6 linked regions of the Oryctolagus cuniculus genome follow. The protein of the gene in region 5 purifies or fractionates together with the protein of the main gene of each other region. This does not show direct contact. Links are inferred from orthologs where the notes say so. Each region holds a gene or a part of one and is shown on either strand. Other genes may lie near its edges.

The links.
Region 1: the proteins of CCND1 (region 5) and CDK2 purify together in Homo sapiens (affinity purification with western blotting; 12 studies listed by BioGRID and IntAct, counting the BioPlex papers as one, with this or other methods). This does not show direct contact. The link is inferred for Oryctolagus cuniculus from reciprocal best matches to the Homo sapiens genes CCND1 and CDK2.
Region 2: the proteins of CCND1 (region 5) and CDK5 purify together in Homo sapiens (co-immunoprecipitation; 4 studies listed by BioGRID and IntAct, counting the BioPlex papers as one, with this or other methods). This does not show direct contact. The link is inferred for Oryctolagus cuniculus from reciprocal best matches to the Homo sapiens genes CCND1 and CDK5.
Region 3: the proteins of CCND1 (region 5) and CUL1 purify together in Homo sapiens (affinity purification with western blotting; 4 studies listed by BioGRID). This does not show direct contact. The link is inferred for Oryctolagus cuniculus from reciprocal best matches to the Homo sapiens genes CCND1 and CUL1.
Region 4: the proteins of CCND1 (region 5) and cyclin-dependent kinase inhibitor 2A purify together in Homo sapiens (affinity purification with western blotting; 3 studies listed by BioGRID and IntAct, with this or other methods). This does not show direct contact. The link is inferred for Oryctolagus cuniculus from reciprocal best matches to the Homo sapiens genes CCND1 and CDKN2A.
Region 6: the proteins of CCND1 (region 5) and HDAC3 purify together in Homo sapiens (affinity purification with western blotting; 5 studies listed by BioGRID and IntAct, with this or other methods). This does not show direct contact. The link is inferred for Oryctolagus cuniculus from reciprocal best matches to the Homo sapiens genes CCND1 and HDAC3.

The regions. Positions count from the first base shown.
Region 1 is NC_091442.1:58,755,430-58,760,590, forward strand, and holds the start of CDK2 (cyclin-dependent kinase 2), read left to right. Parts: upstream 1-1,918; 5' UTR 1,919-2,155; coding exon 2,156-2,271; exon of another isoform or gene 2,272-2,374; intron 2,375-2,957; coding exon 2,958-3,035; intron 3,036-3,139; coding exon 3,140-3,260; intron 3,261-4,495; coding exon 4,496-4,666; intron 4,667-5,161. UniProt on the Homo sapiens protein: Serine/threonine-protein kinase involved in the control of the cell cycle; essential for meiosis, but dispensable for mitosis. Phosphorylates CABLES1, CTNNB1, CDK2AP2, ERCC6, NBN, USP37, p53/TP53, NPM1, CDK7, RB1, BRCA2, MYC, NPAT, EZH2.
Region 2 is NC_091438.1:22,758,847-22,763,766, reverse strand, and holds the start of CDK5 (cyclin-dependent kinase 5), read right to left. Parts: upstream 3,316-4,920; 5' UTR 3,199-3,315; coding exon 3,162-3,198; intron 2,557-3,161; coding exon 2,468-2,556; intron 2,382-2,467; coding exon 2,314-2,381; intron 2,206-2,313; coding exon 2,145-2,205; intron 2,041-2,144; coding exon 1,984-2,040; intron 1,335-1,983; coding exon 1,239-1,334; intron 1,144-1,238; coding exon 1,069-1,143; intron 899-1,068; coding exon 802-898; intron 631-801; coding exon 561-630; intron 46-560; coding exon 1-45. UniProt on the Homo sapiens protein: Proline-directed serine/threonine-protein kinase essential for neuronal cell cycle arrest and differentiation and may be involved in apoptotic cell death in neuronal diseases by triggering abortive cell cycle re-entry. Interacts with D1 and D3-type G1 cyclins.
Region 3 is NC_091434.1:174,882,088-174,886,257, forward strand, and holds the start of CUL1 (cullin-1), read right to left. Parts: upstream 2,801-4,170; 5' UTR 2,684-2,800; intron 2,483-2,683; exon of another isoform or gene 2,346-2,482; intron 2,283-2,345; exon of another isoform or gene 2,064-2,282; intron 1-2,063. UniProt on the Homo sapiens protein: Core component of multiple cullin-RING-based SCF (SKP1-CUL1-F-box protein) E3 ubiquitin-protein ligase complexes, which mediate the ubiquitination of proteins involved in cell cycle progression, signal transduction and transcription.
Region 4 is NC_091432.1:185,037,744-185,042,703, forward strand, and holds the start of cyclin-dependent kinase inhibitor 2A, read right to left. Parts: upstream 3,158-4,960; 5' UTR 3,100-3,157; coding exon 2,974-3,099; intron 1-2,973. UniProt on the Homo sapiens protein: Acts as a negative regulator of the proliferation of normal cells by interacting strongly with CDK4 and CDK6. This inhibits their ability to interact with cyclins D and to phosphorylate the retinoblastoma protein.
Region 5 is NC_091432.1:3,246,771-3,251,714, forward strand, and holds the start of CCND1 (G1/S-specific cyclin-D1), read right to left. Parts: upstream 3,138-4,944; 5' UTR 2,990-3,137; coding exon 2,792-2,989; intron 1,583-2,791; coding exon 1,367-1,582; intron 899-1,366; coding exon 739-898; intron 1-738. UniProt on the Homo sapiens protein: Regulatory component of the cyclin D1-CDK4 (DC) complex that phosphorylates and inhibits members of the retinoblastoma (RB) protein family including RB1 and regulates the cell-cycle during G(1)/S transition.
Region 6 is NC_091437.1:29,206,190-29,211,075, reverse strand, and holds the start of HDAC3 (histone deacetylase 3), read left to right. Parts: upstream 1-1,795; 5' UTR 1,796-1,872; coding exon 1,873-1,927; intron 1,928-2,034; coding exon 2,035-2,117; intron 2,118-3,397; coding exon 3,398-3,540; intron 3,541-4,886. Other genes in the region: RELL2 (RELT-like protein 2), read right to left, coding at 228-411. UniProt on the Homo sapiens protein: Histone deacetylase that catalyzes the deacetylation of lysine residues on the N-terminal part of the core histones (H2A, H2B, H3 and H4), and some other non-histone substrates.

The sequences.
Region 1 (5,161 bases), on a different chromosome or scaffold from region 5:
TATCTCAAAAAAAAAAATGTTTTGTTATTTAACTCTACAAATTCAATACGTATATGGAAAAAAATTTTCTTTCATAAATGCAATGTCATTTGACACTGGACAAAATGATCAAGCCCAGGCCATGTAAAATTCCAAGAATATTTACGAAAAAAAAAAAGTCTTCTCATGATTTTCAAAAGCAAGATCCAAGATGTTAGCACCATCTCCCAAGAGCCTCAGGTGTGTGGGTGAGTAGAATGTTTCCAGCATACATAAAGGAACATAGTGAAAGGAGAGGACTAAAACTGCAGCAGGAAAGAGGGAAGTCGGATTCAGGAGAACTTCCGAGAAGCAGTGAGCCCAGGGATGGAGAGAGGGAAAGCAAGTGGTCGGGATATGAGGGGCTTATTTCAGCACAGTAGAAAGCATTCTCACCCCATTTCTGGGGTGCTGGGGGAAGATCTGGAGTTATCTCTTGAGCATCATGCCACCAGACAAAGAAAAGTCATAAGATGCTCTGTTCTTTCTCGAACTCCAACCCCCCCTCCTCGGAGCAGCACGGGACATTCCAGACCCTCTCACCCTCCCTCTCTTGCTCCCGTCACGAGGTCCCAATCCCCCAGAGCCCTTGCATGTGATGTTCAGCTGAGACCCCTCTGCCAGAACAAAAGGTCTGGGCTGTGTTCACTCATCCCCATCCAAAAGGGGACGGTGGTGCCCATTGAGCCTTCTGATCCAACGCTACACTCTCTTACTTCCCACTTTAAATCCCCTACCCCAAAGTGTCTGAGACATTACCTACAAGAGTCCCCCCCCCACCAATTTCACCCCTTAGAGTCCTTGCTGCAGTTCACCACCCAAGGGGTGTCTGAATTTGTGCTGCAAAGACCCACTATCCTCTGTCCCTCCAAGGAGATGGATTATTTTCATACTCAATCCCAAATCTCCTTGGAGGGAGGGGGCTCAGGTACTCTCATGTCCTCACCAAACCAAATACATGGGAGAAGTATGAAGTGTTGCTGGCATCTCCCACCAGGAGGCGGGGAAACCAGAGAAGGTGTGCGTCCTCAAATTCACACCTGCTCCTGTCCTTGCACCCACACTCACCTTCTGCGCCCCCTGCAGCCAGCAGGACACTCATCCCAGCCAAGTGGAGAAGGCACCCTCTCAGCACCAGGTCCATCCTGTTCTTCTCTCCAGCAACCAAAGGCGCTGGGGGGCCGGCCCAAGCCCCTATATAAGAAAGGGGTGCACATTTGCATAGCCCTTCCTCTTTCTCTCCAGGGGAGGCCTGGGAGGGGCAGGAGGACTGGAGGGGGGGTGGGCAGAACCGGCTAGGGACCCCGGTCCCTGGCTGGACCTTCCTTCCCCACCCTGCTACACAAAGACAGTTTCTGGTTTCACTGGGTCTCTGTCATCTCTATCCTCCATCCCCTGGGGAAGAGTTGGCTGCAAAGCAGCTACAGAGCACACATGCGACACACACCATTCATCGTGGAAGAGCTAATGCACCGGTTCTATCAGACTAGGAACCCCGGCGTCCAAAAACAAAGGGAGACACTATCTGGGCAGGCTGAGGGGCGCGGGCAACGACACCTCCGAGGCCCAGAAATCCTCTACGGCGAGAATCCGAAGCTTCCTTGCTTTTCAAAGGAGTCTCCCTAGACCAGTTGGAATTTTTAATCCACACATTTTCCCAAGGGGCGAGGTGAAAATAGTGAGAGGTCAGAGAATCCCTACTACCGCCTGGAGACGGGACTACAGCCAGGTGCTTGGGAACAGGGGCTCAACCATGCCACGGAGACAGACACCAGTCTCCGCCCTTGGAACCAAACTTGCACGGGGCGGGGTCCTCGGCGGCGCGGAGAGCGGGCCAGGCCCCGCCCCTTCTTACGCCCGCCAATCGGAAGGGGAGGGGGCGGGGCCAGGGAAACGCGGGAAGGAGAGGCGGGGCCTCTGGTGGCGGTCGGGAACGGGGGGGGTGGAGGCGGCAACATTGTTTCAAGTTGGACAAATTGACAAGAGCGAGGGATACACAGCGTTCCATCGCGCCCTGGGGCCTCGGTGCTGGGTCCTGTTTCCCGCCCCTCCGCCCACGAGAGCCCGGGCCCGCTTTCTGCAGGGTTCCCAGGCCCCCCGGCTCCAGGGCCGGGCGGACCCGGCTCGCTGGCGCTTCATGGAGAACTTCCAAAAGGTGGAAAAGATCGGAGAGGGCACGTACGGAGTGGTGTACAAAGCCAAAAACAAGCTGACGGGAGAAGTGGTGGCGCTCAAGAAAATCCGCCTGGACACGTGAGTGGCCTCCGTAGCCGCGACCCTTAGCCGGGGCGCGCCGGGACGCCCCCCGCCCCCACCGCGCGCCCCCACAGGCGTGGAGCCGTCCAGGGACCGGAAGGTAGCAGGGTGGGCCGCCTTTTGAAGTGAGACAGCGTACGGAGTTTCGCCAGGGAGAGTGTAGGGTGGCGTAGAGTCTGTGGAAAGCCTCCTCCCGACACTCAGCCGGAGGTGTGGGGGGTGGATGCCCCCAAAATGTGCAACCAGAAAGACTCCGGGGGCAAGAAAGGAGGCCCCCGGGATTGGGGAGGGCGGGTGTCTAGGAGCCCCCTTGGCGCAGGGTTATGCGGGACCTAATGAGCACTTTTCAGAGTTACTAGCCCTCCGCGCTGCCTCAGCTCCACTCTCACTTTAGAATTCTCTCCCTCCAAAGAATGGCAGTTGAGCCCCACTGGCCCCTCTGGGGAGGCTGGGTGCCACTGCTACGTATTTTGTTCTGTCACCTCCCTGGCTCACCTTCACCAGGGAGGCTTTACTTATATAGCCCTGGGAAAGGAGGAACTAAGGATCTGAATGGATCTGAAAGCCACACCCTGACTACCCAGAAATTATCTTTACTTTTCTTAGGGGGGGCCTTTTGGGGCTGGGGGGATGGGAGCGGTATTTGTAACCATATTCGAGTCTGCTTTCTCAACCTTTCCAAGTGAGACTGAAGGTGTACCCAGCACTGCCATCCGGGAGATCTCTCTGCTTAAGGAGCTTAACCACCCCAATATTGTCAAGTAAGTGTGCGTCTGGGAGGTGATCACAGCAAAGGAGGTTGAACCTCTCTGTGGTCTGGGTGGTCTCTGCTGCCCTTCCACTTCCTGGGTCTTCCTTTCCCTAGGCTACTGGATGTCATCCACACCGAAAACAAACTTTACCTCGTTTTTGAATTCCTGCACCAAGATCTCAAGAAATTCATGGATGCCTCTGCTCTCACTGGCATTCCTCTTCCCCTCATCAAGGTGATCCTTCTGAGTGATTGTTATCTTGGCCTTCTGCAGAGCCCTCATCACCCTCCCCCACCAACCCCCACACTCCTAGTACTTTTTGTCTCTTTCCCTGCTCATTATACTCATTAACCCTAGGGCTGGGCTGGAGAATCAAAGTTGAAACTTAGTGACTCAACCCCGTGGCTCAGGTGGGAGGTCAGATGAAACTCAGATAAATGGGATTTGTGAGCTCTTGGTAGATCCCTTCAAAAAGCCCTTTTGTCTTTTTAGTGGGAGAAATAGTCAAGGAATCTCTGTTGTCTGTTGTAGAACTGGATTCTTCACTCCCAGAGTGACTTTCCATCTATCAACAAGTGTTTCTTTTTTTTTTTTTTTTAAAGATTTATTTATCTATCTGAAAGAGTTAGAGAAGGGGAGGGGGGGGTCTTCCATCCGATTTCCCACTCCCCAGTTGGCTGCAACGGCTGGAGCTGTGCCAATCCGAAGCCAGGAGCCAGGAGCTTCTTCCAGGTCTCCCACATGGGAGCAGGGGCCCAAGTCCTTGGGCCATCTTCTACTGCTTTCCCAGGCCATAACAGAGAGCTGGATTGGAAGAGGAGCAGCCGGGACTAGAACCGGTGCCCATATGGGATGCTGGTGCTTCAGGCCAGAGCGTTAACCCGCTGTGCCACCGTGCCAGCTCCGAGATTTATTTATTTATCTAAAAGAGTTACACAGAGAAGGAGAGGCAGAGACAGTAAGGTCTTCCATCCCCTGGTTTACTCCCCAGTTGACTGCAACGGCCAGAGCTGGGCCAATCTGAAGCCAGGAACCAGGAGCCGGGAGCTTCTTCCTGGTCTCCCATGTGGTTGCAGGGGCCCAAGGACTTGGGCCATCTTCTACTGCTTTCCCAGGCCATAGCAGAGTGCTGGATCGGAAGTGGTGCAGCTGGGACTCAAACTGGCATTCATACAGGATGCTGGCACTGCTGCAGCAGCTTTACCTGCTACGCCACAGCGCTGGCCCCCAACTAGTGTTTCTTGAATGCATGTGTATTAAACCTTCAACCTGTAGCTACAGGGCATGAAAGAGATACAAATCTGCTTAAGACCTGGTCCTGATCTTCCTGGGACTGGGAGTCCTACCAGCAAAAATAGCTTGTAACTACAAAATAACATAGTAAAGACTTTAGTGGAGCTCTGTGGGCAAAGAGCAAACTGATGTGCTTGTTGTGATTGAACAACAATCCCCTCTCTTCCCCCTGTCAGAGCTATCTGTTCCAGCTGCTCCAAGGCCTAGCGTTCTGCCATTCTCATCGGGTCCTGCACCGAGATCTAAAACCTCAGAATCTACTTATCAATGCAGAGGGCTCCATCAAGTTAGCCGACTTTGGACTAGCCAGAGCCTTTGGAGTGCCTGTTCGTACTTACACCCACGAGGTGAGTCCACAAACCCCTCCACCCCCCGCCTTGCTTTTCTTCTCTGAGCTCCCCAGGAGGGGTTAACAAGGGCATTCACAAAGTTACTAGAAATATTTGGCCAACAGTTTCTCTTACTATATGAAAAGAATCTCTGAGACCCTAAGGGGTCTTAGGGTATGCACACAGTTCCTTCTGTGGTGCTAACTGGGATTTTTCTTTTTAAAGGTTAATTCTACTTATTTGAAAGGTGGAGAGACAGAGAAAGAGAGATCTTGCACCTCTTGGTTCACTCCCCAAATGGACACAACAGCCAGAGCTGGGTCAGGCTCCTGCGTGGGTGGGCCATCATTCACTGCTTTTCTAGGCACATTAACAGACAGCTGGATCAGAAGTGGAGCAGCTAAGACTTGAACCAGCACTCCCATGTGAGATGCAGTTGTCGCTGGCAATGGGCTTTTCCTAAGCCAGGACAGCTGGATGGGACACCACTAAAATTAGGACCATTTGTCGCAA
Region 2 (4,920 bases), on a different chromosome or scaffold from region 5:
TTGGTCATAGCGGGCCACTGCTCCTCAGTTGGTGTCCCCAGCAGCGTGTCCACAGGGTCAAGGGTCACTCGCAGAAAGGGCTGCACCTGTACCTTCAGGGGCTCCCCCCAGGAGAGGCTTCCTTATGCCCACCCCAGCCCCCCTCAGCCCCCCATTACTCTGTCCCCCTGGCTCGTGACGGAAGAAGGTCCCGAGCACGTGGCTGGCATATTCAGTGCCACATGCACAGCACCGAGATGGGCCAGGAGCATCGCAAGCACTAACCCAAATGCTGCTGTCTGGGGTCCCAATGAGCCAGTGTTCTTCCCTTTCTTCCACAAAACCCCCCTGCTTTGGCCTAAGAACTTGTCCGGAAGCACACCCCAGCGTGCCCTTGTGCCTGCAGGCCGCACCTCTGCACAGCGTGTGCCAGCTGCCTGCCTCTCACCCTCAGGAGAAGCCTGCAGACCCCGCCATCCCGGCAAGGCCACCGCCACCCTCACACCTGTGCTGTCGGTCCACGGCCTCACCCGCTTCCAGCGGGCCCAGGGCTCAGGGCCCTGGGGGCAGCGAAAGGATATCGGAAGATCCTCTTCAGCTGGTCATCCACATCGTTGCCAGGGAAGAGGGGCCGGCCGGCATTGGCCAGCTCTGTGAGAGGGGCACAGCCGTGACGCACCGCGCACTCCTCACTCCGAGGCACCCCTGCACCTGCCATTCCCGGACCCGAGGGCCCTACTCCCTTCCCCGAGAGGGCACCCTCCAGACCCTGTTTGTCAACCCAGATTGGGGAGAAAGAGCAGAGCCGCCCCAGCACGTCACCTGCGAAGATGCAGCCGGCTGACCACATGTCGATGGACGTGGAGTACAGCTTGGCCCCAAAGAGGACATCCGGTGGGCGGTACCACAGCGTGACCACCTGGAGAAGACCCCACCCACAGGGACGCCCTCCCGTTTAGAGGGCTGGGACGGAGGGTGGAGAGGGGAGCTCAGAGAAGAGAGGGCACTGTCTCGGGTTGGTCATGGAGCAGGAGCTGAAAAACACCAGGGACTGCTCCCCTCAACTCCAAATCCCACCCCCCAGCTCACCTCAGCTGAGTAACAGCGGACAGGAATCCCAAAGGCTCGAGCCAAGCCGAAATCGGCCAATTTCAGTTCCCCATTCTGGGGGGAGACGGGAGGGAGGCACGGCACGGGGCTGTTAAACGTCTCAGGGCAGGCTCCTGCCCCCTGCCCTCCCCTTCTCCCCTGAGCAGTACCCTGTTTATGAGCAGGTTCTGGGGCTTTAGGTCTCTGTGCAGCACGTTGCGGCTGTGACAGAATCCCAGGCCTTTCAGCAGCTGGAAGAGGAATGACTAGAGAGGGGCAGAGGGGACAGAGTCAGACACCCTGGCTACGAGGTGATGCCAGCCATGGGCATGCTCCCTGCCTCACCCTCAGCTTTGTTCCATGTCCTACCCAATCCCCAGCACCAAGCTCAGGACAACACTATATGCACTCACTGCCGAGGGTTGGCTTTGCAGCCCGTACAGCAGGAAACAAGTGGCTCTGCTCCCTGCCCTTCCAGACCTTATAGCCCGATAGGCCTTCTGCCTTCCCAGCCCATGCCTCTCTCCCCTACCTGGCTGGACCTGAGTGTACAGTCTGTCACCATCAACATGGATATTGTGCTCTGGGATGGTTCAGGACCTGACTCCCCTGGAACCTGGGCCAAGGCACTTGGTCTCGGGCCTAGTACTCTCAGCAAATGTTTGTTGATTAAATGAGTGTAGCTCTTTGGGTGGAAATAGCCGTTGGCCTCAGAGTGTCACTATACAGGTCCAAGGAGGCCATGTGGAAATGCTGGCTAAGCCCGGAGGCCCCTGGAGGGCAGGAGCAGGTTTGCTCTTTCTCTGACACCCCCCCCCCAGAAAGTCCCTGATTTGTGCCTAAACAGGAGAGCTGACACTGCATACAGACCGGAACCCCAGCCCCGAAGAGCCCCCAGAACACCCTTCCCCTCACCTTCACAATCTCAGGATCGAGGTCACCATTGCAGCTGTCAAAATACTTCTTGAGGTCCTGTCAAGGGATGCAGCGGGGGAACAGGACAGAGGTGAACCTCCGTCTGGGCCCCACACCCTCCCAAGCCTGCTCCCTTTCAGCCCACCCCCATCCCCTTTCACCTGGTCACAGAACTCAAAAACCAAAGTCAGCTTCTTGTCACTATGCAGGACATCGTGAAGCCTACGGAGAAGCAAGGGCTGAGCCAGGCAGGTCTGCACGTCTGCACCACCCCAACCAGGCTGAAGCCCCCTCCTCCTCCACCTGCAGGGCCCCCTGCCCCCTCCACACCTGACAATGTTCTTGTGCTTCAGCTCCTTAAGCAGGCAGATCTCCCGGAGGGCTGAACTCGGCACACCCTGCACAGCGAGGGAGCAGCAGTCAGATCCCACTCACCCCAGGCCTCCTCATCTGCCACTCCCTGCCCTGGTGTCCCCGGTCCTACCTCGTCATCGTCATCCAGCCTCACGCGTTTCAGAGCCACGATTTCGTGAGTCTCTCGGTTTTTGGCCTTGAACACTGTTCCGTAAGTGCCTAAGGGGAGGAGGTCATAGATGAGGGGGAGGATGCGGCACCCTCCCCATCCCCAGGAAATGGGGAGGGGGAAGGGCACTTGAGTGTGTAAGGGAAAGGCTTCAGGGTGAGGGGCAGGCTTGCAAGAGCTTTGTAAGTGAGGACGCTGCAGGGTAGGGAAGGCCTAAAGGTTGAGGCTCCAGGGTCTGAGCCGGAGGCCAGGGTAAGGACAGCGCTAATAAGGGCGGCACTCCGGGAGGTCTGGCCATAGCAGGACTCTGGGAGAGAACTGAGGGCCTGCAGAAATGTCAAGGCTGAAGATCTGCTGGGGTCCGGGTGAGGATGTGCAAGTGGTGCTGAAGCTAGGCGTGGGAAACGCAGGACGTGCCGCGGCTGGGAGGTCGGCTCCACAGGGAGGCTAACGTTGGGAGTGGGAGTCCGCGGAGAATGCTAACACGGGCAGGGCTGGTGTCTGCACGGAGTGCTGAGCTTGGGGGCCAGGGCTGCAAGCCAGTGCTGAGGTCGGAGCCTGCAGGTACCGCAGACTACGGGAGAGCCTAGGCTGCAAGGAATCCCGAAGGGTCTGCAGAAGAAGATCTTGCAGGAACATCTCGTGGTTCTATTACCTTCCCCAATCTTCTCCAGCTTCTCGTATTTCTGCATCACGGCAGCCGCGGGGACCCCTGCGGGCCCTGGGTTCTAAGACTCCGGCCCCGGCGTTGCAGAGGAGGCGGCACCCCAGCCTCCGGCCCCGCCCCGCCTCCTGTCTGCGCATGGCCTTCTGGGGCTTGTAGTCCTAGGACGGCCAGGTTTCCCAGCGGTGTCCGGAGACTCGGGCAAGAGGACTACAGCCCCCAGCAGGCTGCGCTAAGGTCCTCTGCAGCACTCGACTCCCGGGACTCCGGTTCGACCGCGGAGGCAAACCCTGGACTCCAAGTCCCAGAAAGCATCACGCGTCCGCTCCTTGGGCGTCCCCACCGTGACGCCACGGTTCCCAGTGTGCCCCGCTCTTGTTACTCCTTTTCTGTGTGCCTTCTTGAAAAGGGTCGCTCTGGGACTACGCGTTCCAGAATGCGGCGGGGTGGGGGTAGGGCGCCCTCGGGTTGAGGTCTGGCGGCCCAGATCCGGGACCTAGTGGCTCAGCTCTGACCTGGTTGGTGATGATGAGTTCCGAGCGACCTCAGCGCGGGTTTCCACCTCGCCCCAGGCCTCCCAGTGACCTCAAGGTTGATTGGGGAATAGGAACGATGACCTCACAGGGACCAGCTGACCCCAGGGCTGGGTAGAGGCAGGTGTTTGCCATTTCTGGCTGGATTGGAAGGGTGACTTCTCCCTCTGCTGGACCTCATCTGTCGTCTCGGAGCCCATGATGAGGCGAGCCGGCTGGAGCCCTGGGAGTCCCCCCAGATCCCAGTCTTCCGAGCAGAGCCCACTGGAGGCAGTAAGGGTGTGGCCCACGAGGGCTGACAGGTTGGTTACCCCCTCTACAGACAAGACCACAGACAGATGCTACACTTACAGCAGCCTTTACCTCATCCCTTACGGCAGTTGATTATAGATTTTCCTGTGCTGCTCTCTAATTGTCTCATGATTGCATTCTTCCGGGCTGTGAACTGGACGAAAACAGCCCCAAATAGCACTCCGCAGCCAGGAACCAGAACTGGTGCTGACAATTTGTGGATTAATTCCTTTATATCAGAATGCTTTCGCATACACAATGCTGTGCTTCACCCACGTGGCAGACTAAAAAAACAAAAAAGTATATAATCCTTACCTAAACGCATTTTTAATTGAGAAAACAAGATGGCACACAAGTTCTTTAAAAGAACAGGACTCGATTCAGGGTGGGAGGTAGCAAGGACGAGGAGGGGGCCGCCGCGAGGCGTTTGTGTCCCTGAAAGTGACCGGTCCTAGGTCAACTCGGGGTAAGGGACAGCCAACCTCCAGCCGCCATCACCTCGTGCCCCGTGCAAAGACAGGGGGGCTTCTCTTGGAGGCCTGGGGGGTTGCGTGCAGGTGGGCGCAAGAGAGTCTTGGCCCTGCTGCGTTTGTATCGAAACTGCCTGGCTTTCCCGGCCGTCCTGTGCCGGCTGGGATCTCCAGCGAAAAGCAGGCTCTTCTCCGCCCAGAAGTGCCGTCATGGAGCAAGAGACGGCGTCCCCGGGCGCCAGAGCCCCGCGCAGGGAAGGCCTGGGCGGCGGCCTCGCCTGGCCAGGCCGAGAGACCCCCCGCGGGGGCGGCCTCCGGGGCCCGGCTCCTGGTGCCGGGTTGTGCCTGGAAGCGCGCCCCCACCCCCTGGCCTCGGCCCCCGCTCTCCGCCTCCCCACTGGCCGCGGCGGGGCCGCGCACGGTGCGCCGGGGGGCGCGCACGCTGGGGGCTGGCCT
Region 3 (4,170 bases), on a different chromosome or scaffold from region 5:
AAGTCACTCATTCATTCAAAACAGTAACTGAGGTACCAGCACAACCAAGTTCTGAGTTACTATGAGGATTCAAAAATAAATAAGGAGCATCCCCGCCTTCAATGAGTTCACGTGCAATGTAAGGGAAATAAGGCTGTTTTGCTGATCAAGACTAAGTTAGAGTTAGAAAGGAATACCCCATCAGTGGAGAGGAGTACTCGAGCCCTGATCCCTAAGGACACCCAGCAGTCGGGCTCAGGCGTGTGTCCCGAGATCCTCTGATGCCACATAGCCTGGGGCAGGCTTGGGGGACAGGACGTGCCTACAGGGACCTGAGCACAAAGCTCTCAGGCAGAGTGGATTGTATACACTGATGAAAAACCTAGCGTATCTCAAGTTGGTTTGTTTTCTGGAAAAAAAAAATTTTAAACGGTACCAAGGGAAACAAAGCTTAACTTTTTCTTTTTAAAAGCAGACAATTCAGCCATCTTTCAAGCTTAATGAGCACTCTCCTGAAACCTCCAAAAATGGGCATAATAGAGTTAAAGCAAGTCTTGTGTTTGCGTGCTTTGGAATTTGAAATGCGATGCAACTATTTCAACTTACTATGGAAAGCAACACACAGGACTTTGAAGCAAAAATCTTTCTAATACAAAGAAAAACCTCATTCCCAAACTTTTTATAAAAATAAATGCTTAGTTCGACTTTTTCAACAGATCATCATAGATTATCCTACGTGACATAAATGCTCCAGGACTTCAGAAAGCCGGGTCCATTTTGAGGGACACTCCAAAATTAACTGCGAAACTTTAAACTGCACACACTTCTGCAAGGCAGGAACTCATGCTAGAAGCTCCTGGCTTAAAGTAAGAATGAATTTAGTTCCTCTTCTCCAATCTGTTAAGTGCATTTACAAAAACACTGTGACCCTTTACTCCACTCATAACTTTGGACTATTTTAATGCTACTGCAGCAAAGAACAATTACACAGAGTAAATACATACTTGAGTAACTTGAATGCAATTCAGTATTTGCGCACTTACTCTAACCCCTATTACGAACTGCAGGCAGCAACAGTGACCCAATCAGCAAAGAGAATCGTCTTTGGCACAGCCAGCTCAAGAAGGGACACCCTCAAGTTTGGGGCTTCATCTTAAGGAACGCCAAGCATTTCTCTTTCTCAATCATACGTCTACACTGCACAGCGCCACACAGGTGATTGGAAAGCCGGAGTTTTCGGGCTAACCTGGGCCTTGGGCACCGAAGCGCACGACCCGCGTGCCTGGCGGACCCCAAATCCCCGCGGCCGGGGCTCCCTCCCGGCTCGGGGCGCGCGCTCGTGCCGGGGCCGGGGGCGCGCCGAGGCCAGGGCGCAGGGCCTGGGGCCGAGTCGAGAGCGCTCGGCGGGCGCCGAGGGGCTCCGTCCGGTTCCGCCGCCGCCCGGGCATCCCTGCGCCGTCTGCGCCGGCCCGCTCCCCCGAGAGAACGGAGCAAAGGGGAGACTATTACCCAATAATAGCGCCCTGCACGGCCGCAACAAAGCGAGCGGGGCACCCGAGAGCCAGGGAGACCGGCTCGGCCGCTCCGGAGGCGCGCCGGAGAGCATGCCAGCGACGCCCGAGGGAGAAGCGCGAGCCGGAAGGCGGGGGAGGGAGAGAGGGCCGAAGCGCGGCCGTCCCGCGAGGGTCGCCGCACGAGGCGAGGCGAGGCGCGGCGCGGACGCCGGCCCAGCCTCCGGGAGGCGAGCCCGGCGCCACGCAGGCCGCCGCCTCCGGGCGCGATGAATCGGGCTTTTTCCCGGTGCGTAGTCCGGGCCTGGCCGCCCCGGAGCCGCGGCCCGGCCCGGCCAGGCAGGCCCGAGCCAGCCGGGGTGACTCAGGGCGGGCCCCGCTCGCCCCTCGCCCGCCCCCGGCGTCCTCCGCCCCGCGAGGGCCCCCGGCCCGGCCGCCATTCCGCCCGGCCGCGGGTCGGCGGCTCAGGCCTCGCCCGCCGCCTGCGCTCGGCCGCCGCGGCCCCAGTCACTGCGACACCGCGGCTCGAGGCCGGGCCTGCGCCGCCGCCTCCGTTGGGCCGCCGACACTCACCCGCATTTCCAAACGCCCGAAAGGCTCCCGCGACGTCTCCGCCGGGTCGCTGGGTCCCGGTGAAACCCCCCCCGTCCCGCCAAGGTCTGGCCGCGTCCCTCAGCCACCGGGGCTGCCCCGCCTGGAGCTGCGTGCGACACGGCGCCCGCCTCCTCCTCCTCCTCCCCTGCCTGCCCGCCCGCCCGGCCCTCCTCCTCCTCCCGCCGCCGCCGCCGCCGCCTGCACCACGCAACCTCCGCCCTCTCGCCTTCCCTGCGCGGCTCCCCGCCCTCCCGGCCTCACCGGCTCCGGCGACCGCGGGGGAGACGCTGTTGGGGGAGGGCCGGAACGCACCGCCATCGGCGTCCGGGGCGGGGGAGCCGGGAAACCGTCGCCGCCATCGCCCCACCAGCCTGAGGCGCGGGAGGGGCCCGGCCGCCTCCCGCCCGCCGGGGTCCCCCCCGCTCGCTTGGGTTGTTTCTACCTGCAGTCTCGTGGCCCCTGGCCCCCCCAAACGCCCGAGCCGCCCCCCACCGGGCGCACCGGATCCTCCACCAGGTTTCACAGCCCGCCTCGCCTGGGGGCCGCCTCCGAGGGAGACCCGGCTTCCCGCCACTCGGGACCTCGCGAGCGGGGCTGACCTGGGGGCTGGAGGGGCGGCGGGGGGCTCCGGCCTCTGGAGACGCTGCGCGAAGCAGCGGGAGGAGAGGGGCTCCCCGCGCCCCTGCCCCTCCCCGTGCGCACACACTCCCCCAGAGCTGACATGGAACCCGACTACCCCCAGCCACGTGCCTCCGGGGACCGGGAGCGCAACCAGCAGCGGTGTCCCCGACTGGCGTTTAAAGTCAGCGGGGGCAGGTGGTCCCGAAAATCCGCGCGGACTCCCGCGACACGTGCGCGCCTCGCTCTCCCCGCGGTGCACCTGCCCGCCTTCGGAAAGAGCGCCCGAAAGCCTGAGCCAGGCTGGCTGCATGTCTTTCTTAAAAAGTCTTTTTCTAAAATACACCCAACCAGGCTCCCCTCCTCAAACCCTTTAACCGACGCGCTTTGGGCAAATTTTGACGAAGATTCGCTTTTCCTTAGTCTTTGTAAGCACACATCAAGAACAGAATTGAAGGTTTTGATGACATGCTTGGCATGAGATGTGACTATAAAATACTGTTTTCACGTGTCGTCAGTAGTAGTTAATCTCACTCCTTAGGAATAATCTTAGGATTGGGTGTTTGGAATATTAAGCAAAATTTGGCAGCACCAGTAACAGAAAGCATTGACTTACCTCACACCTAGTGAGATTGCGAGATGCCTAATTCCACTGAATGAGTAAGGAAGGGTTTCCAATTAGCCTGTCGTCTGGGCAGAAGTTAGGATGGAGGCAGTTTCCTGTTTTCGCCAAACCAAAACATTGCAGAGATTGTAGAAGCACTTTGGGGCAGAAGTGGTCAGCCAGAGCAGAAGGCCACCCCCAGAGTCCACACGGTTCCCCTAGGAACACCGGGTTCTCTTAGAAGAAAAATCCCTCTCTGAAATGGGGGTCTTTTGTCAGTCTCTGTTAAGCATCCTTAGTTTGTAAATAAACTTGTCACCAAAGTATGGAATCCTTAATTTGTGCAGGGGTTGAAAAATTCTTGGTCTGTACACTTCTAAGTAACCTAGTCAAACGAATCGTTAGGTGTATGTAGCCACTTTTTATATGGCTTTCCTGTAATATCCTTGGTTCCTCTTACTGGGACTTGTGTGTTCCACAGACAACTTATCTCCGAATTCCTTAACCTGTCTTCTCCATCTCTTTCAATGGGGTTTCCTTGTCTGTGACTTCCCACAGATGAAGGTAATGGCTAAATGGGTCAACTTTCCCTTTATTGTTTACCAGAAAACCTTCTGTTTTGTGGGTTTCAAAAAAAAAAGTTTTATTTATTGGAAAGCCAGAGTGACAGAGATGGGGAGACAGAGAGCGATCGATTAATTATTCATGTACTGGTTTACTCTGCAAATGCCAGCAATAGCTGGACTGGGCCAGGCAGAAGCCAGGAGTCGGGGATTAAATCTGGCTCGCTCATGTTGGTGGTAGGGACTCAAGTCCTTGAGCCATCACTTACTGTCTCCCAGATTTGTGCATTAGCAGGAAGCT
Region 4 (4,960 bases), about 180 Mb from region 5:
ATTGCTGTTGTTCATTCTAAATTCGAACATCATTGTAGCAATCACCACCACCATAGTTAGAACCTCCAAAATTTCCTCCTTCATTGTAACCATCATATCCTCCTCCTTCACCCTATCCACCACCTTGCTTTCCATATCCTGGGCCACTACCATCATAGCCTCCTCTGCTACCATAGCAAGGACTATAGCCCTAGTTGCTACCATCACCTCTAAAACTATTATATCTATGGTCACCTCCTCTATAACTTCCTCTGCCGCTGCCACCTCCACAACCATAGTCTCGTCCTCCAACAAAGTCTCACCATGGCCAAAATTATCTCCACCACCTCCAAAGGTTCTTCCCCAACCCATAAAGTTGTCAGATTCATGTCCACAGCCACTTGGTGATCCAGCGGCAGACTGCACCTCTTGTTTAAAAGAGGCCATTTTCACTTCACAACTATGCCCATTAATAGTGTGCTATTTCTGAGCAACAATTTTTATCAGCCTTATCATGACATTCAAGAGATACAAAAAGCAATTCCTCTCCACTCCCCTCCCCAACTCTGCCTGTCTTCCAAAACGTCTACGGTTTCAATCTTGGCACATTCCTCAAATTAGATTCTTCTGTACCTTCATTAATACCACCCACAAAAATCTCCCTCACTCTTAAATGAACACCAGGCTTTACCAAATCCTCTCTAGAAGCAGCTCTCTTTGGTTCCACTCCATGTACAGCAACCTTGTGTGATCAAGCACACACTGCTTCATCCACCTCGTCAACACAAGAGAAAGCCACAAAACCAAAGCCCCTGGAATGTTTCGTTTCAGGGTCTCTCTTTACAGTCTGTGAGTGTGCCCCTATTCTTAAAGTGTTTTCTCCAACTATCAACTGTAGTTTCAAAAAGATCAGGACACCCACCCATCCACAGTTTCCTCAAATGCTCTGTTTCCTGCACATCACAGTCCTCCATTTTGAGACTGGACTCAGCTCTTCCAACTGCAGTTCAATATGGGACAGAGAGGAAGAGAGGAAAAACACTTCTAAGCTTATGATTGGAGAGTTTATTAAATGGAAAATGCTCACCTCTGATTCCTAAATCATCTTTGAAACAAAGCCATTCCCAAAGAGTAATTTTACAATGGTGTCCAAAATCACAGCAGCTTTACAATTTGACTGTTGAATGGAGAGGTGGGAGAGAGAGAATTCTTTCAGGATAACCACTGTTTGGTTATATTAACCCAAAGATAGTGACTGTGTAAAGAGGAATTACTTATTTCTAGTCATGTTCTGTCCATTAAACATGAATTACTTAATTCGTGTAAATCAAGGAGACATAATAAATTATACTGTAGCTGTTGAATCCTGCCTTGAAGAAAGTGAAACTGATTTAGTTTTCAAAATGACCAGAAGAAAATGTAAGTGAACTAAATTACAGTAACAGAAAGAAAGAAAAAACAGTGCACTGCACTGTTTGGGTATATTATAAAGTCCTTCATTTTGGTCATGAAGCTGGTCTTAAACCTTTTTTTAATGTTTTGTTGCATGAAAAAAAATTGAAAAGTGGCACACATTTAAATATTCAAACCATAGTAGCAATTAAAAGCAAAAAGAATGAATTAATTAAATGAATATTTGGAGGGTGATTAAATAAATTTAATAAGAAATTTACTTGAATTTATTTCTTTATTTTTTCTATAAACTAAGTATTTCTGTGTTAAACATAAATTTGGTTAGGGTTCTAAACGAAATTATCTTCCCTTTCTCCTCCCTATTAAGAAACTCAGAATCATCCAACCAAATTTGCCTTTTTTATTTAATCAAATAAGGTCTCTTCTAAAACTACAAAGCCAAATTGTTTCCATGCTGCTGGCAAAATTTTAGAGATGTGATATTATGAGTGGTGCACACATTATTATGCATACATTCTTAAATAACCACCCAACTTTTCAGTTTCAAAATGTCTCCATACTTCAGATCCCAAATGATCTCAAGTTTTAAAGATTTCTGGTTTTATTTTTATATCTATATTTTAAATATATAAAAGTTATCCTATGTAGCATAATTTCAGGAAAGGAGAACTCATTTGTGAAATTCCATGTAGAATTACTTTCCTTTGTCTTTGTTGTGCTGGAGTTTTTGCAACACGCATTCGTTTCATAAAAGTTTTCTTTCTTTATGAATCAGAACTCATTTTGACCACCAGGGATAAAACTAGGGTGGTGACTGCCAGTAAGAATTTGGTTTTAGACTGAAATTTAGGAAGTTGGTGTAGACAAAAGAGCAAAACAATCTACGTACGGCCCAAACCAGAGGGCAGAGGGGGAGAAATGACACTGCTCAACAATCCCAAATAAGTTAAGCCATAAAAACCAAAAAATACCCTGAATAATAGGAGATATCCCCAAAGGGTAACTATACATTATCTCAAGCGAGATCACAGTAATGCTTCTCTCCATATTTGTCTTCATTTCCCAAGTTCTTATAGTAAGTACAGATTACCTCAGTCAGAGTTAAAATAAGTAGCGTATATATTTACTTTTGAATAATTCCAATCGGTATTTTATCCGATTTCCACCGAAATCCCCCTTTATTGAGAAAGAGGATAAACACCATTCAGGGGCCTTTGAGTTTGGGGCTGAGAAGTCCCAGCAAATCATTATTAAAAATACATGGCTTTGAAACTCGCGTTTCATCCCCAACGTTCGTGAATTTTGCACCTGATAGAGTTAGATCTTATAAAATCGCTCCCCCTTGCCAGATCGTCCCAGCAGTCTAGAACTCCACAGCGCACGTGCCTGCTCTTTGCTTCGGTGGCTTCCCGACCCGCCACCCCACTGGGGTCGCCAGGAGAAAGTTTTTGATTCCTTGCTCCACGGGAAAACTCCCCAAGACGGATGCATCGAAGCGCTCCCCGGTAGTGCAGCCCTGCAAACCTCGCACTCCAGAGCCCCCGGCTGTCCGCTTCTCCGGCCGCCCATCCGCGCACCTACCTGGATCGCCGACCGACCATAGCGGTTAGGAGCGTCGGGCGGCACTCCGGCCTCGAGCAGCGCCCGCACCTCCTCCACCCGGCCCCGCGCCGCGGCCGTGGCCAGCCTGTCCGCCGAGGGCTCCATCGGCTCCAGTGCCGCCCGACCCTCGCTGCCACCCTTCCTCCGCAGCTGTCCTGAGTCAGAGGCTGCCCTACCCTCGGACCTTACGCTCGCTCCTCCTCTTTCTTCCTCTGGGGCTGGCGGAAGAGGCCCCCCAGACTCTGTCCTTGACTCCTCCCGCGGGAGCGCCGCGGCTTTCCATTGCAGGGGGCGCCGCTCACGTGTCTCTGAGGAGGCGCCATTCGCTTGAACGCCACGGGAACGTGACACCCCTGAAGTCGCCCCACGGCGGGGCTCGTCCCGGAGCCGGAAGCGGGCGGTGGGAGGGGGGCGCCTCGGGCCCCTTCCCACCTGTCCCCTCCCCACCGTGGGTGCCACGCGGGTCCCCGAGCGAGAGCTGTTCTCCCGCGTTTCCTCCCCTCCCAGTATACCCTGCCCCGCCCCCAGCCCCTGCGTTAGAAAACCGCGCGGGATTCCTAACTGCCACGCTCGAATCTGGGCGTTTGGTATCGCAGGCACAGTATTGCTTCCTCTTTTAAAATCAGAAGACTCTCAAAGCCGTCCCCTCGCCGCCGAGGAGGGCCAGAGAGGTGTTCCTTCTTTTAAAGGACGCACCGCCCGCTCCCCCTCTCAACGCCGGGCTCGCGCGCGCGGCGTCCACGCCGAGCGAGGCTGCCTGAAGTCGGGCCCTGAGCACTCGATCTGCAGAGTCGGCCAGCTCGCGCCGCCCCGCCCCCTCTCCCCGGTGAAACGGATGTAGGGAGCGAGGGTTTTGCTGGTACAAGGGCCAAGTCCTGTGGAAGGGCTGGCTTTGGCACGAGTGGGGCAGAGTTCTGCCTGTGGGCACATGGGGGAAGTGGGGAGGGAGTCCCTGGAGGAGAGACTTCAACCTACCGGACACCCTCCCCCACCTTCTCATCTGATGAAAAGGTAAACAGAACTAGGGTATATATAGCAAGCGAAAGGAAATACAGTTAGGTTTTTTTTCCCTATGATTATTACTTTTATGAGTTTAAATATGTTTTATGTTTTGAACTAGGTGGCTCAGACCTTGCCGATAGCTTAAGCCCGTGCTTAATGGGCCTGCCGGATAACCCTGCTCTGTTTCAGTTACTTTTCAATCCTTGGTTGATTTCTCCAGCAGATCCAGAATGCCTTGGACTTTCAGTTGCTGTTTGGTCAGCAAAGCATTCAGTTTGCAAAATGATGCCAGTGCTGGCTCTGCTCCAGATTCCAGCTCCCGGCTAACGGACACCTTTGGAGGCAGAGAAGACAGCTGAAGTACTTGGGTCCCTGGCACCACATGGGAGATCCAGTGCAGTTCCTGCCTCTGGCCTCAGCCTGGCCCAGCCCTTGCTGTTTCCCAGTACTTGGCAATTGAACCCCTGGACGGGACATCCATTTCCCCCCTCCCTCTTTCTCTTTTTAATAAAATATCTTAAAATATAAATTAAAATAAAGTGATGCCAATTAAAACACTTGGGGGGGCGGCGCTGTGGTGCAGCAGGTTAAAGCCCTGACCTGAAGCGCCAGCATCCCATTTGGGTACCGGTTCTAGTCCTGGCTGCTCCTCTTCCAATCCAGCTCTCTGCTATGGCCTGGGAAAGCAGTGAAGGATGACCCAAGTCCTTGGGCCCCTGCACCCTTATGGAAGACCCAGAAGAAGCTCCTGGCTCCTGGCTTCGGATTGGCACAGCTCCAGCCCTTGCAGCCATCTGGGGAGTGAACCAGCAGATGGAATACCTCTCTCTCTGTCTCTACCTCTCTGTAACTCTTTCGAATAAATCTTTAAACACACACACACACACACACACACACACCTGTGGGATACTGACTGTTATAAAAGCACACTGTACTTCACTGCATCATCTGTATTTTCCTCTCG
Region 5 (4,944 bases):
CCCCTAGCCCGCAGGTGTGAGCCCAGACAGCTGTGATGAGGGAGGCCGGACCAGAGCCGGAGGTGGAGCCCAGCGCGCGGCGAGGGTGAGGCAGGTGGGCGATGCGTCTGTGCCCTCCCCCCACTGTCTCCAGGCCTCTGGCACTCAGCAGTGGGGCTGGGGGTTGCATGGGGGCGCAGCTGACCCCTCCAGGCTTCTGCAGGCGTGCAGGGTCTGGGGCCAGGGCAGTGCCACACCAGGCGCCAAGAGCAGCCAGGCCAGAGGCCCCTCCCAGGCTCAGCTGGGCTGGCCCCAGGCGCCCCTAGCGGGGCCTCAGGCGGCCAAGCTCCTCTGCTGGCCGCCCCCGCACTGGGGCTGCGCGCCTGCCACTGGCCACCCGAGCACGTGGTGCAGGCGCTGCCGGCCGCTCTCCCCTCCCCGCCCTTGTAGGCGCCCCTGGCAGGTGGCCCAGCCCGGGAGAGGCCAGGAGGGGCCCCCGCAGTCCAGGCTCCTTGAGGACACGGGGAGGGGTGGAGGTGGGTGGGGGCGGGCAGCCCGGCCGCAGAGGCAGAGCCGGCTGGGCACGCAGTGGTCACGGCTGCCAGGCGCGCCCAGCGCAGCACAGGGGGCCGTCGCTGGAAGAGGCCCCCCCCCGCCCCCAGGCAGGCTGGGAGAGCAGGCAGGCGGGGAGACCCCGGGGCCACCTCCCCTGGGCGGCGCGCGGTGGTGGGGCGCGAGGCCCTGGCCGGGGCGCCCCACCTGTGGCGCACAGGGCGACGAAGGTCTGCGCGTGCTTGCGGATGATCTGCTTGTTCTCTTCGGCTTCCGGCATTTTGGAGAGGAAGTGCTCGATGAAGTCGTGGGGGGTCATCGCGGCCAGGTTCCACTTGAGCTTGTTCACCAGGAGCAGTTCCATTTGCTGCGGGAGCGGGCGAAAGGCGCAGCGCGCGTCAGGAGCCGCACGCGCAGGGGTCTGCCCTCCGCGGGTTGGGGGGGGCCCTGGGGAGGAGGGCGGAACAGGGAGGGGCGCGCCCAGGGAATGCGGGGCGCGGTGGGGGAGAGGAACCCGCACACGGTCCCTGATCCAGACGGGAGGAGGCGACCGCGAGGCGACCTTGTGCAGGCAAGGACAAAAAAAGGCCACCTTCCGCCACCTGGAGCCCGAAGGCCGTCCGGGCTCGCGCCGCTAGGGGGCGCGCGCCGCCCACGCTTGCCCGGCCACGCCGCTGCCGGGCGAAAACTTGGTGGGAGCCGCGGACCGCGAGCGGCGGGCGCCGGCGAGGGCCGCCCCCAGCCCCGGCCCCGGCCCCGGCCCGGCCGCCCGCGCCTCTCCTCCCCGCGCCCGCCCAGCGGGGATCCCGCGGCCCGCAGGGCGCCCCCCGGGTACCAGCAGCTCGTCCGGCCGGATGGAGTTGTCGGTGTAAATGCACAGCTTTTCGGCGGTCAGCGGGATGGTCTCTTTCATCTTGGAGGCCACGAACATGCAGGTGGCCCCCAGAAGCTGCAGGCGGCTCTTCTTCAGGGGCTCCAGCGACAGGAAGCGGTCCAGGTAGTTCATGGCCAGCGGGAAGACCTCCTCCTCGCACTTCTGCTCCTCGCAGACCTGCGGGAAGACGCGGGGCCGTGACCGCCGCCCGCGCCCCGCGCCAGGGTCTCCGTGCCCGAGGGCGCCGGGCCAGGGGCCGGCGAGGGCTTCCCGGGGTGCGCTCGCCGCCACGCGCGTGCCTGGGGCCCACCCACCCCGAAACTGAAAGGGAAAGTCCCCGCGCGACCGGCGCGGACGCACGACCCCCAGGACCCCGGCCCGCGCGGGGTATCCGGGGCCGGCACCCGCTGGGGTTCGGGGGCTGGGGGCGGGCAGGGGGCCGGGGGCCTGGGGCCGCGGTGGCCCGGCGCAGCGCTCGCCCCGCGCCCGCGAGACACAAAGGTGGCGTCCCAGGCCGCCGCGCCGCATTTCCCCAGACGTCATCTTTTCAAAAAATATTTAAAAATATTAAAAAAATAACTGGGCGCGCAGAAGACCCCTGAAAATGACCCTCGGGCGGTGCTCTACCTGGGCCGGGGGCCGGGAGCCCGCGGCAGGCCCCGGGGGGAGCCCCAGGAACTCAAACTCGGGGACCCCCCCCTTCGCCTCGGGCGCAAGGGCACTGCGCCGAGCTGCGAGAAGCGGCTCAAAGACGCCCGCGCGCCCCTCGGGCCTGAGCACGCGCCCCAGGCCCCCGGCCCGCCCCGGGACGACCCCCGGAGCCGAGCCCCCCGGCGCCTCGGGGGCCACGCGACCTTGCAGCCCGGCGCGCCGCGTGGCCCACGCCGCCCATGTGGGGTGTCCCGGCGCCCGCCGCGGGGACAAAGGGGCTCCCCGGATTCCCGAGCCGGGTCCCTCGGAGCGGCCCGCGCCGCGGCCCCGCGCCCCTCCCGCAGGCTCCGGGCGGCCGTGCGGACCCTCGCGGCGGTCCCTCCGCGCCCCGCCGGCCGCTCCCCGCCCCCAATGATTAATAAACGCGTTAGCTTTGCAATAAAAGAGCAAAGATGGCGCGTAACACTGGCACGAGCGGCACTTGCATACGTGTCCGTGGGCATTCACCTAAAGATCCGACCCGCGCCCCCTCCCCCCGGGCCCGCGCAGGGCGCCCGGGCTGCACCCCGCACCCGCCGCGGTGGCCCCCGGCGCCGCCCCTCCCCCTGCGCCTGCAGAGGGGCGCGCTCCGGGCCGCCCCAGCCCCCACGCGCCCCTGCCCGGGTCGGAAGTTGCCCGCTCTCGGGGTTATTTATTCGGAAAACACGGATTCCGTAGCAGCGGCGCGGCCGGCACCTCCAGCATCCAGGTGGCCACGATCTTGCGCATGGACGGCAGGATCTCCTTCTGCACGCACTTGAAGTAGGACACGGAGGGCGCGCAGGTCTCCTCCGCCTTGAGCATGGCGCGCAGCACCCGGTCGTTGAGCAGGTTGGCGTCGGGGTAGGCGCGGCGCACGGCCTCCACCTCGGAGCACAGGAGCTGGTGCTCCATGGCCGGCCCGGCGGCGGGGTGCTGGGTGCGCGCTGGGCTCCGGCCGCCCGTCCGCTGCCGCGCCGACAGCGCTGTGCAGGCGCCGGGACTTTGCAACTTCCACAAAACTCCCCAGCAGCCCGAGTGACGCGACCGCTGTTCAGCGGAGATCAAAGCCGGGCAGAGAATGGGGGCGGGGGGCGGGGCGCGCGCGGGGGCGGGCGCGCGAGGGGCCGAGCCCGGGAGCCGTCCCGGAGCCGAGTGCTCATAGACATGCAAATCGCACCCCGCCGCCCGCCGGGGAAGCGGGGCGCAGGGCGGGGGCGGGGGTGGCCCCCGAGACCGGCGGGGTGGGGCGGGCGGCCACCCGCGTGGAGGGGGCAGCGCCACGAGGGCACCCCCGGGAGGCGCTCGCATCCCCTTTCATTTTCAGGAACACGTGTAGAATCGGGGCCCCGCGCGCTGGCGGGGACGCGGGGCGGCGCTGGTGCGGGGGGTCGGGGCCCACGCCCGTGGGGCGAGCCCCGCGCGCGGCAAGGGGACTGTGGCCCCTCACGCGTTCGCTCGGATAGTTAAAATACAGGCAGCCGCCCAAAATGGTGGCCGGCGCTGCCTCCGTCCCGCCCCTGGCGCCCGGGGCCGCCTCGTGTCCGCACCCGCCCGGCCTCGCGGGGGTCCCCCCGCACACCTCGCGCCCAGCACACGTGCGGCCACTGCGAGGCGGCCAAGCCACGATGCGGGTGCTGCTAACCGCCCCCCACCCCCCAGTTTTTTTAAATTAAAAAAATAATAAAAAAATCGCTGGGCACGGGAGTCGCTGATGCCGGGGACTACGTGCGACCCCCGGGCGCGCCCGCATCGGTTCTGGGGGCCCAGGGCGACCGGGGTGGGGGGGCTCGGAGTTTACCCTGGGGCCGCCTCCGTGGGCGACAGCGAGGAGTCGGCGCCACGAGGAGTCACGCGTCGGGCTATTTTGAAGCAGAAACCGGGCGTGCGTGGCCCCGGTCCCGCAGGGCAGAATGCATCACGCAGTGAGCGTAGTCTGTCCATTGGGCTCTTTGAGTTTTTTAAAAAGCTAAATGGACACTTTGCCCATTCTTGACTTTTTTAAAACTTTTTTTCTTTATTTTTAACAGCGCTTTCCTTAACTGGAGAAGCCCCGGGACTTCGGGGTGGCCCCGGGGGGATGGGCGCGGGCCGCGCCGGCCGCCGTTTCATTCATAAAATCGCAACGCGGCGGCGGCGCGGGCGAGCATGCGGCCGTGCGCGGGGCCCCGCGCGCAGCCCGGCGGGGCTCGGGTGGGCGCGCGCAGGCTGGCGGCGCGGGGCCCCGGGCGGCGCGCGCCCACGCGGGCCCTGGGCGCCCGCGGCCCCGCGGGGAGCCCGCCCCGCGCCCCGCGCCCCGCAGGAAGCTGGAATTAGCATGAGCCAATCGCCGCGCCGCGCTGTTACTAGGCGGACCCGGCAGATCTCCGCGCGGAACTCGGCGGCCGGCGCGGGCCAGGGACGGGCGCAAAAGTGCAAGCCGGGCCGCCGGGCGTGAGGCGCGGCGCCTGGGCGCGCGGGGCAGGCAGGCGGGGAGCGGCCCCGCGCGCACGGAGGCGGTGTTCAGCTTCTGCACTTATCGTCTGCCTCTCCAAATAATAACTTAAAAACTTTTCTTGCGGTGTCAGCGCCGCACTTGTTAGAAAAAAAAAAAAAAAAAACACACCACGAAGCTGGAGCTGCGCCCCGAGAGAGCTCTCGCTTCTGGGCGTCCCGTTGACTTGGAGACAAAGGGCCGGCGCCCCCCACCCCCGGGAAGCAGCCCCCACGTAACTCGGGACGCGTGCCCGCTCCCCCCCGCGCCCGAGCGCCACCGTCCCCGGCTGTGCGAACCTCTGTCCCGCGGCGCAGACCCCAGCACGCACCGCCCGGCGCGCGGCGCTGGGGACGGGGCGCGGGGCCCGGAGCCCAGGGGCCGCCCCGAGGCGGGC
Region 6 (4,886 bases), on a different chromosome or scaffold from region 5:
ACCCTACTAACAGTGGACCCCTCTTGCCCGGGCAGCCTCCTCTCGCCTTGCTTTTCAGGGTGGTGACCCCCACTTGCTGGCTCAAGAATGGATCCCTAGGCATTGTGCAGGTTTGGTCAGGTTTTGGCCTGGATCTGTTGGCCGGGGAGGCAGAAACAGGGGTGAGGAGAGGGCTAGGGGAGAAGGGTGACTAAGCCGGGGCTCCAGGCTCCTCACTGCTCACTCACGGGGCTGGAGCTGGGCGTCGTCTGGCTCGGAGCCCCTGGACGTGCGGCAGCGATAGCCCTTCTTCTTGAGCACGTGGCAGATCATGAAGCCCACAAGGCCCATGAGAAAGAAAACCAGCACAAGCAGGAAGAGCATGTACAGCCCATGTTGGGGCGGCTCCAGGTCAGGCTGTGGTTCCGACATGAGGCCCTGGGGGGCGAGCGCGGGCCAGGGCGCCTCCTGGGTTTAGGGGGCTGCCGCTGGAGAGTGGGGAGAGGTAGGCATGCCATTTTCAGGATCCGAAACAGGCATGCCCCAGTGGACCCTCCGGTCCCACCACCCGGCTACCCAACCAGGGAGCTGTCCCGGCCAGCGGTGCTGGTCTGCCAAGACCGCCCGTGGCAGGAGGCCCGACGGCGGCTGGGCAAGCCCTCTTCCACGACCCTGGTCCCAGACCGTTCCCCTTCCCAGCTCGTCCCGCGCTCCCGTCCCTGCCAAGGACACTGCAGCGCCAGACGGGACAGCATTCTCCAGGCGGCGGGCGCTCTGATCGCGCCTGAGTCAGCGTCCGCACCTCCCTCCGCGCCGGCCTGAGCCAGGCCTCTGCAGCCCCCTCCCCTCCCTGTACTCCCGGACCCCTCCCTTCCCTTCTCGGTTCCTCCCACCCTGGCCACCTGGCCCACCCGGTACCGGTGGTTTGGTTCTGGTTCCGACTCCGGCTCGGGTTCCGGCTCCAGGGGCGTTCTAGTCCGGCTCAAGGCCCCCGACGCCCTCCCGGCGCTCATCCCTTGGTTCCTCCCCCTCCCCCCTTCGCCGCCTCACCGGCTCCCGGCTGTGGCTGCGGATACCGGGGCCGCGGCAGGCGGGGGGAGGGAAGGATGGCGCGGGCTGCGGGCTGCTTGGCCGCGGCGGCAGGCTCTGGACAACTCCGGCCCTGGGGAAGCGAGGCGATGGGGGAGCCCCCCGCAGCCGCCCTGGGTTCCCAAATGCCGTCGCCCGTTGCCGGCCCGGGATCAAGGGGCGGAGCGCAGGTGTGCGGGGCTCAGAGCGTGAGCTCGGCGCGCGTGTGAGCGCAAGTGGGATGCGCGCGTGACTGCGCTGGGCCCCCCCCGGGGGGAATGTGCGGCGCCGAGTCTGGGTCCAGGTAGGGGACAGGAGGTTCGGCGGGGGTGCTCTTCTCTTGGTCTATCCCGCACGCCTGGCGCAGCTCCTGCCCTCAGATGCCCTGGCTGAGAGGATGGCCGGGATCTTCCCAGGGAGCTGGGGGAAGCTGGCTTTCTGCCCCTGAGAGGGGCGGCGTGCCCGGATCTTCAGCGCTTCCTAGAGCGGTGACTACTGCCTGCCCTGGGTTTGGGACAAGTGGCGGGACGGAATGGCCTGGCTTCCCGAGGATCTGGCCTCCGCCCGCAAGGCAATGTTCCTGGCATCCTAGGACGGATGCTACCCGTCCCCCGCCCAAGCCAGGATGCTAAAGCCCCAGAACCTAATAGGACACAGCCAGGCGAGTGGCCCAACTCCCGCAAGGGGCGTGGCCTGGGCGGGCGGGGCGGGGCGGGGCGGAGCGGGCCCGCCCCCGTTCCGCAGGGGCAGGCTGCGTGCTTGCGCAGCACGCACGGCGGGGGTGGGGCTGGCGGCGGAGGCGCGGGGCCTGCTCCGGCCGGCACCATGGCCAAGACCGTGGCCTATTTCTACGACCCCGACGTGGGCAACTTCCACTACGGTGAGGAAAAAGGGTTATGAGCGAGGGGTGGGGACGCAGAGGTTTCGAGTTGGGGGCTGCATCTCCAGGGGTGGGAACTGACAGACTCCGTTCTCCCGCACCCCCAGGGGCTGGGCACCCTATGAAGCCTCATCGCCTGGCATTGACCCATAGCTTGGTCCTGCACTACGGCCTCTATAAGAAGATGATCGTGAGTCTCGCAGCCTCCGGGGATTGGGGGCGAGGGCCAGCTGCGGCTTTAGGGCTAGGTGGGCTGGGCTGACTGCACCAGGGGCAAGCCGCTCCTAGAGTAGTGGGTGGCCGAATGGAAGACCCCAGAGGCACCCCTTTACATGCAGGGTGTCGAGGAGGCTTCCCCTGATTTAATGGGAGTAACTTTTCCACCTCAGGTCTGCCGCCCTTTGCCCTGCAGCAGACCAACCCTTGTCCTAGGATTAGGGTGGTGCGGGCCTGGCTTAAAGGCAGGCTTTTTCCTCCCCCTGCATTATAGGCTGTGGACAGAGCTGTGGCATTGGGTATGGGGGGGCGCTGGATCACTGTTTCTGAGTGTGAGGTTTACCCCACAGTGCCTATCGCTGCTCTTCCATGTCTCTGCCTCCGAGGAGCTAGAGCTCCAGAGAGAACTCTGCACCACGCTGAGTATGAATGTGTGGGTGTGGAAGAGAGCAGATGTCCTGGGAGTTCCCTTTACAACCCAGAATACCTCTACATGCTTCTGCTCAATAACTGCCCAATCTTCTGTCTCCCAGGCTGTGGGTCCCCAGCATGGAATTGATCGCTGTGAATAATATGGGATAGTAAACACTTAAGCCCAACCCTTGCTTGTGAGGGGACTTCGTCAGCAGCATGGATGAATGTCCATTGCTAGTGCTGAGGCACAGACAAGTGGATGGGTCATAGACAAGACGGGGGCGATGTTAGTGCAGGAGCCTGGGGGTCCCTGGAGATTGTGTGCTTGGATGCACCTGTGCATATCTTTTTCCTTGCCCAGTTTTCAAAGAGGTGTGTGAACTCCAACCCCTAAGATGATAGGTACATGTTTGATTTAGCACCTTCCATTTTAGTTAGCAGGTTGTCATACAGACTGTATATTTGACTCCAGAAACCAGATGAGAGAGACTAGAATCAGGCAGGGGAGGGAGATGAGTATGGAGGGAACCAGGAATAGGAGATCTAGGGAACAGGGCAGGGAGATCAGCGCTCGAGATTAAGAAGGAAGGAGCCGTTGGACTGGAAGTGGGAGGGAGAGGGAGAGGAAGCAACCTTTGGGATCTTGATCAGCATAACCCACCTGGCTAGTTGGAGCTTTTTTCTTCACTGACCTTTTCTCATAGAATAACAAGGATGGCGGAGTGGGGGCATTGCTGTGTGGGTTGGGACAGTCTCCAGGACTGGGTTCGGTGAGGGCTGGTCTCAGCTCCGTGAGTGAGCCTGGCCCTGCCTGAATTTGTCTTGTGTCTCCATCCCGAGGTCTTCAAGCCGTACCAGGCCTCCCAGCATGACATGTGCCGCTTCCACTCTGAGGACTACATCGACTTCCTTCAGAGAGTCAGCCCCACCAATATGCAAGGCTTCACCAAGAGCCTTAATGCCTTCAACGTGGGCGATGACTGGTGAGTGAAGGCTGGACTTTGGATGTCATCAGGTTCGTTGGTACCAGGCCCTTCGGTGAGGTCTTGGCAGCAGTGGGAAGATAGGAGGGGGGGCTACTTGTCATTGAGTCACTGTTCACTTGTTTATTCAGTAAATATTTAGTGATCATTTGCTCTAGGCCAGGGCGTGTGCTGTGAACACCAACAATATTGTAATATTAATATTAATAATTCCTAAATATCAGTTATGCAAACAGTATTCAGATTTCCTCATTCATCTCATTTTTTTTTTTTAAGATTTATTTTATTTATTTGAAAGGCAGAGAGAGAGCGAGCGAGTGTGGGAGAGTATGAGAGATCTGCGGGTTCATTCTCTAAATGACTGCAACAGCTGGAGCTGGGGCAGGCTAAAGCCAGGAGTCTAGAACTACATTTGGGTCTCTCATGTCGATGCCCAGTATGTGGGCCATCTACCACTGCCTTCCGAGGTGCATCAGCAGGGAGCTGGATTGGAAGTAGAGCAGCCGGGACTTGAACTGGTGCTCCTATGAGATGCCGTGCATCATAGATAGGTGATGGGGTAACCTGCTGCACCACAATGCCAGTCCCTCTTTTTTTTTTTTTTTTTGCAGTAAATTTTTTTTTAAATCACGATCTAAATCAAGTCAGCATTATATTTGGTTGACGTGTCTCTTAAGACTTTCAATCTATGGCTTCCCCCTCTTCTCCGTGAATTTATTTTGATGGAAGACCTCTCTCTCTCTCTCTGCCTTTCCTCTCTCTGTGTAACTCTGACTTTCAAATAAATAAATAAATCTTAAAAAAAAAAAAGATTTTCAACCTATGGCTTGCCTTCTCCTTGAATTTATTTCTTGCCCGATGTTTCTTATGATAGCTAGCATTTGTTGAGTGCTTATTCTGCTAAGTATTAACCTGAGGGTTGCTGTGCAGTCTCCTAATTCTTACGTCAACGCTGAGATGTCTTTTCTCTGCTTTGTACATAAGTAAATGGAAATTTGAGAAGATTCGGAAGCTTAACCTGAGTCACACGGCTGGTCAGTGGAGGTGACAGGATTCCGATCCAGAGCCCAGGGTTTTGAGTCATTGTTGTGTTTCCCTGAAAGAGCCTACCGACAGAAGCAGCCGGGGCAGCAGGGCAGAGGCCGACTCCTTAAGCTGGCCTTGAGCACTCTCCTGACCTCCCCACACCTCGCCAGCAAGGAACGTCCTTCCCGAAAGCCCTTGCTTTTTTGCACAGCCTCGCCAGAGCCTTCCTGCCCCTTCCCACCCTTCACAGCACCTCCATGCCAGCCTGCAGGGCCCGGTCCTGCACACACCACGCTGTTCCTGTGAGGTTCGGTCACATG